2 linked regions of the Callithrix jacchus genome follow. The protein of the gene in region 2 purifies or fractionates together with the protein of the main gene of each other region. This does not show direct contact. Links are inferred from orthologs where the notes say so. Each region holds a gene or a part of one and is shown on either strand. Other genes may lie near its edges.

Region 1 (3,500 bases), on a different chromosome or scaffold from region 2:
TTTCCATGAATGAGGTTGTGGGGATGGTTTCTGGATGATACTGTTCCACCTCAGATCATCAGGCACTAGATTCTCATAAGGAGCATGCAGCCTAGATCTCTCACATGTGCAATTCACACTGGGGTTTCCACTCCTACAAGACTTTCATGCTGCAGCTGATCTCACGGGAGGTGGAGCTCAAGCTGGCTAATGCTCACTCACCTCCTGCTATGCAGCCCAACTCATTTCTATTTAAAATCTTTGAGTTTTCATATGTAAAGCACTGTGCTAAGTCGTAGGGATATGATAGGCAAGCTTCTCTTCACACTTTTGTTCTAAGGTGGGATGTAGATGCTGAGAATAATAACCTAATTAATATTTAATTTATGTAGTGGGAAGAAGTGGGGCTATGAGAACACATAACAAGTGAAACAGGCCCTCTTTTTCAGGGTTCAAGGAGGCCTCTTGGAGGAAGTGATAGTTGAGTTCAGTGTTCAAGAATGAGAAGGGATTCACTAGGTGAAGGTTAGGTAAGAAAACAGCATCTTTGAAATGAAGGAAGGAGATGGAAAGTTTTGAGAATTTAAGAAATACTAATGAGGAAGGAGGAAGAAAGGCTTGAGGTGAGGCTATTGAGATAGACTCAGCAGATCTCATAGGGCTTTGTAGAACATGTTTAAAAGCACAATAGGAAATTTCAGAATCATGAAATGAAATTTGTTTTTAGAGAATTGGGACAGTGTCAAGAGGGAGGATATATAGGGAATGAAAGGGCAAGAGTGAATGATCCTTTTATAATATCTGTTTTTAAGGTGGATATAATTAGGAAAATTAAAAGGGCCAATTGATTAGGAGTTTTAAGTACCAGTTCTGGTTCAGATTTCAGTGAGTCAGTTTTGAGGGCATTACTGTTGCATACCAACATGGTTTCTAAATTTTTTTTTGTTTTTCTATGAGCAGTATGGGAAGAAGGAAATTGGACCAAAACTGATAACATTCTTGGGAGGACTGGGATGTCTGAATTTGAGTGGAATGCTTTAAAGGGACAAATTGAATAGGGCCCCAGTGTGGGGATCTGAGTGATGGGGTCCAATGGCAAGCTGGCTGAAATTCTTGTGTAATAAAATAGGTTGGTAATACAGCTTTTCTCAGACATTTGATCACGATTTCATGACCAACAGTATATGTACATCTTTCTAGCTGATTATACTGGCCAGTGGTGGACCCCAAGCCTTAGTAAATATAATGAGGACCTACACTTATGAAAAACTACTGTGGACCACAAGCAGAGTGCTGAAGGTGCTATCTGTCTGCTCTAGTAATAAGCCGGCTATTGTAGAAGCTGGTAAGTATATGTATCTGTGTCTGTAGTTCTATTTAGATTACTTTTATTAGAAAAAGGTGATAGCTACCCAGGAGGCTGAGGCAGGAGAATTGCCTGAACCCAGGAGGCGGAGGTTGCGGTGAGCTGAGATCGTGCCATTGCACTCCAGCCTGGGTAACAAAAAAAAAAAAAAAAAGAAAGAAAGAAAGAAAAAGGTGATAGTACTTTAACGACTGAAAATAGACGGTCTTAGTTTGCAGCCAAGATTACATTCAGAGTATGTGTCATCAGAGTACAGTAGCTAAATATTTAAGACTAGGTAGAGTTCTTATTATCTATCAGAAATTAATGGCACATATTGTACTTGATAAAATTTGTTTGTAATTTGTTTTGAGTAAACCTGAGATTTGCTAAGAGACCTATGAATTTATAGGAGAAATGACAAATTCTAGTATAGTACAATTTTATGAAGTAAAATGATTGCTTTATTAGTAGATGCTCATGAGCAGTGTGTTTTTTTTTTTTTTAACTTTTAGGTTCATTATATAGGTAAATTGCATGTCACAGGTTTACGTGCAGATTATTTTGTCACCGAGACAATAAGTATTATACCCAATAGGTAGTTTTTCAGTTCTTTATCTCCCACCCTTAAGTAGGCCCCAGTGTCAGTTGTTCCTTTTTTTGTGTCCATGTGTACTCAATGTTTATCTCCCACTTAATAAGTGAGAACATGTGGTATTTGGTTTTCTGTTCCTGTGTTGGTTTGCTTAGGATAATGGCCTCCGGCTCCATCCATGTTGCTGCAGAAGGCATCTTGTTCCTTTTTTATGGCTGCATAGTATTCCATAGTGTATATGTACCACATTTTCTTTATATAGTCTACCATTGATGGGCATTTAGGTTGATTTCCATGTCTTTGCTATTGTGAATAATGCTGCGATGAACATATGTGTGCATGTCTCTTTATGGTAGAAAGATTTCTTTCTCTTTGGGTGTATACCTAACAGGATTGCTGGGTTGAATGGTAATTCTGTCTTAAGCTTTTTGAGAAATCACCAAATTGCTTTCCACAGCGGCTGAACTAATTTACTTCCCACCAGCAGTGTATAAGCATTCTTTCTCTCAGCATCCTTGCCAGCATCTGTTGCTTTTTGACTTATTAGTAGCCATTCTGATTAGTGAGAGACATTATCTCATTGTGGCTTTGATTTGCATTTTTCTAATGATCAGTGATGTTGAGCTTTGCTTCGTAAGCTTGTTGGCCACTTGTATGTCTTCCTTTGAAAAGTGTCTGTTTGTGTCTTTTGTCCACTTTTTAATGGAATTGCTTCTTTTTTGCTTGTTAAGTTTATTGTAAACTCTTGATATTAGACCTTTGTCAGATGCTTAGTTGGCAAATACTTTCTTTCATTCTCTAGGTTGTGTTTACTCTGTTGATTTCTGTTGGTGTTCTGAGCTCTTTCTACTGTCCCATTTGTCAATTTTGGTTTCTGTTGCAGCTGCTCTTGGCATCTTCGTCATGAAATCTTTGCTAGGTCCAATGTCCAGAATGGTATTTCTTAGGTTATCTTCCAGGGTTTTTATAGTTTTAGGTTTTATATTTAAGTCTTTAATCCATTCTGAGTTGATTTTTGTATATGGTAAAAGAAGGGGTACAGTTTCAGTCTTGCATGTGGCTAGCTAGTTATTCCAGCACCATTTCTTGAATAGGGAGCCTTTTCCCCATTGCTTTTGTTGACTTGTTAGGTGTGCGGCCTTATTTCTGGACTCTGTTGTGTTCCATTGGTCTGTGTGTCTGCTTTTATACCAGTAGCATGCTGTGACTGTAATCTTATCTTAATAGTATAGTTTGAAGTGGGGTAAAATGCCTCCAGGTTTGTTCTTTTTGCTCGGGATTGCTTTGGCTATTCAGGCTCTTTATTGGTTTCATATAAATTTTTAAATAGTTTTTTTTTTTTTTTAATTCGGTGAAGAGTGCCATTGGTAGTGTGATAGGAACAGCATTGCACCTGTGAATTGCTTTGGGCAGTGTGGCCATTTAGCAATATTGATTCGTCTTGTCCATGAGCATAGCACGTTTCTTCACTTGTTGGTGTCACCCTGAGTTCTTTGAGCAGTGCTCTGCAATTCTTGTGGCAGAGGTCTTTCACCTCACTGGTTAGCTGTATTTCTAGGTATTTTGTTCTTTTTGTGGCTG
Region 2 (3,500 bases):
GTCAAAATATAAAGAAATCTAAAATATTTACTAAATTGCACTAAAGCCAGGATTTCCCTAGAATCATCAGAAGTCGGCCAGGCACGGTGACGCACACCTATAATTCCAGCATTTTGAGAGGCTGGGGCAGGCAGATCACTTGAGGCCAGGAGTTCGAGACCAACCCTGGCAGCATAGTGAAGCCCTGTCTCCACTAAAAATACAAAAATTACTCCAGTGTTTTGGCACACACCTCTAATCCCAGCTGCTTGAGAGGTTGAGGCATGAGAATTGCTTGCACCTGGGAGGTGGAGTTCGCAGTGAGCTGAGATTGCGCCACTGCACTCCATCCAGCCTGGGCGACAGAGTAAGACTCCACCTCAAAAAAGAAAAGAAAAGGAATCATCAGAGGTAGTATTACTTAGTACATAAAAACAAGATGTTTCTGGAAACCACAGCACCCTTTAAGAGCGTTTCACGGCCGGGCGCGGTGGCTCAAGCCTGTAATCCCAGCACTTTGGGAGGCCGAGGTGGGTGGATCACGAGGTCAGGAGATCGAGACCATCCCGGTCAACATGGTGAAACCCCGTCTCTACTAAAAAAAAAACAAAAAATTAGCTGGTCATGGTGGTCCGTGCCTGTAGACCCAGCTACTCAGGAGGCGGAGGTTGCGGTGAGCCGAGATCGCGCCATTGCACTCCAGCCTGGGTAACAAGAGTGAAACTCCATCTCAAAAAAAAAAAAAAAGAGCGTTTCTTTTGTATTGGTAAGCCACTTACTTCTCTGTGTTTCCTATGACAGATAATCACGTGAAGCCAATGGAAGTAGATGGGGAGGTTGAGATTCCATCCAACAAAGCCACAGTCCTTCGGGGCCATGAGTCCGAGGTGTTCATCTGTGCCTGGAACCCTGTCAGTGATTTGCTTGCATCTGGGTAAGGATGTCAGGATGGGGGCACTCCAGGGTTGGGGAGATGGGAGCTGCTTCCCTTTCTCTGGGGTTCTGCCTTAAGGAACACACACTCCCCATATTACCCCAGTGTGGGCAGACCTGGGAGTGGGCGGCTCTTCTCTGCATGTCTCAATTTTGTGGAGAAGCCATAGTTCCAAGTCATTTTCTCCATGGGGTGGTAAGGAACACAAAGGCATTTAAAATTACCAAACACAAAGAAGGCAAGGAGGGAAACAGGGATCCAGAGGTATGAAAAAGACAGAAGAGCACGTGCCAAAGATGCCATCTGGCCAGAGAGCAAGCAGTGGAGAGCTTCTTCTCCCATTTAAACCAAACACCAGAGGCTCCTGTGTTTTTATTCTGCAGTTCCGGAGACTCAACTGCAAGGATATGGAACCTGAATGAGAATAGCAACGGGTGCTCCACCCAGCTCGTGTTAAGGCACTGTATACGAGAAGGGGGCCACGACGTCCCGAGTAACAAAGATGTCACCTCACTGGACTGGAACGTAAGCATCTTCCACCCCCTGGGCACTTTGAAATCGGTAAAACCTGCCAGCCACCAGGCAAGGGCTGCAGTGATGGATGGAGCCCACGCAGACACAGGAGACAGGCAGTCCCCTGTGCTCAGCCCCACCCTGAGGGGCTGCCAGAGAGGTGGTCCTGGCTTTTCTTTTTTTTGAGATGGAGCCTTGCTCTGTTGCCCAAGCCCCAATGCCGTGGTGTGATCTCGACTCACTGCAACCTTAGCCTCCTGGGTTCAAGCAAGTCTCCTGCCTCAAGCTCACGGCACCACACCAGGCTAATTTTTATATTTTTAGTAGAGACAGGGTGTCACCATGTCAGCCAGGCTGCTCTCGAACTCCTGACCTAATGTGATCCACCCACCTCAGCTTCCCAAAGTACTGGTATTACAGGCGTGAGCCACCGTGCCTGGCCAGTCTTGGCTTCTAAGAGCTATTAACAAGGCTGCATTTGGCAGACAGTGAGCTGTGTATTCAGTAGCCATATCTTTGCATGTGAGCATGCTGTAGCAAAATGAGCCTGTGGCCTCATGGTGGGAAGGTAGGCTGGAAGCCCCAGAGTAGTTCTCCTGGAGAAAGATGATGTGCAGCCCAGAAAAGGTGACTTCCCACCTTGGGATTTCAGCAGCAGGGGTTATATGCATTGACATGTGGGATGCACACAGTTTGACTACTTTTTTATTTTCTGCAAAGTCTTGTGATAACTTTCAGCATGGTATTTTTAATTCTGTCATTAAGGAACACGCAGTGGCAAATAGTCCCAGTGTACTGGGATCCGGGAGAGGCTCTGGGAGCCCCTCCTAAGTTGTTTTTGTGGGTTTGTGTCTCTTTCTGGCCCTCAGACCGATGGAACACTCTTGGCTACAGGTTCATATGACGGTTTTGCAAGAATATGGACGGAAGATGGTAAGTCCAGTGTCCCTCGTGCTGGGGTTGGGTAAGAGGAGCTGCTGATGGAACCCTTGAGTGAACAGCCTGTGACACTGAAGTCAATATGTTTGTTTTTACTAACAGGTAACCTGGCCAGCACCTTAGGCCAGCATAAAGGCCCCATCTTTGCCTTGAAATGGAACAGAAAGGGGAATTACATTTTGAGTGCTGGTGTGGACAAAGTGAGTATTAGCTTAAAAAATATCCCTTTGAGCTACAGGTGGTTAGATATTTTTAATCTCAAAATAACATCATGGTTTCTTGGAACTCTTAGGTTTTGTGCTTCCCCTAAAGAAATGAAAAGGATTTGTTAGGCTTTGTTTTTGTGGTTTTGAGCTTTCTGTTACTTTGTAACACATCATCTCTTAATATAGTCTGCTGTTCTGCAGACCCATGTGCAAAACTTCCCTTTATTTGAGGTACATGGTTCGTTGGTAGAGAGAGGAAAAATCTCCACATTGCCTTTGTCACTTGCTGGAAGGAGCCACGTGGTATGGGGCATGCCCTGCCTGAACTTTCACCCACTGATGGGCAAGTGGCACCGGCTGTGTATGTTCTTCAGGCTTCGTCTTTCCTCATTTGATCAACTGCTGCTTCCCACCGTAGACTGCAGATTTCTCTGAGCAGGAGTCAAGCAACCTGGGTAAAAGGGCACACTCTCCCGATGGCCCACAGATTAGAATTGACTTGCTCTGCACCTGGGCAGGGCTGCAGGGAGACATGGCGGCGTTAACTCCAGGTGCATCTGAAAACCATCAGTGGGGTGGGAACGAACACAAGGGCAAAGAGCAGGGGGATGCAGACTCCATCCCAGCCCGGAGCGATTCAACCAGCAATCTCAGCCTCTGTGCATTTCACTTTACTCACTTGTCCAGCGACAGGGCTGGCTGGAGTCATGACCCCAAACAGCTTTTGTGGAACTGTTGTGCGTTCCCAAGACTCAGCAGGAATTCTAAGTCATGGCTTTGGAAAAAAAAAGCATTATCTAGAATTGAAAAAAAGAAAAAAATAGACATGTTTTCACATCAGTGTGTGTTTCTACAACAGCTGGAAACCATGCATGAATACTGGAGGATGCTCGGACCTCCACAAATCTTTGCATTTTGTGATGATTTCA

Evidence for each region.
Region 1: the proteins of TBL1X (region 2) and CTNNB1 purify together in Homo sapiens (affinity purification with western blotting; 4 studies listed by BioGRID). This does not show direct contact. The link is inferred for Callithrix jacchus from reciprocal best matches to the Homo sapiens genes TBL1X and CTNNB1.

The regions. Positions count from the first base shown.
Region 1 is NC_133518.1:79,023,169-79,026,668, forward strand, and holds part of CTNNB1 (catenin beta-1), read left to right. Parts: intron 1-1,179; coding exon 1,180-1,324; intron 1,325-3,500. UniProt on the Homo sapiens protein: Key downstream component of the canonical Wnt signaling pathway.
Region 2 is NC_133524.1:9,907,829-9,911,328, forward strand, and holds part of TBL1X (F-box-like/WD repeat-containing protein TBL1X), read left to right. Parts: intron 1-780; coding exon 781-913; intron 914-1,296; coding exon 1,297-1,438; intron 1,439-2,295; coding exon 2,296-2,359; intron 2,360-2,467; coding exon 2,468-2,565; intron 2,566-3,500. UniProt on the Homo sapiens protein: F-box-like protein involved in the recruitment of the ubiquitin/19S proteasome complex to nuclear receptor-regulated transcription units. Plays an essential role in transcription activation mediated by nuclear receptors.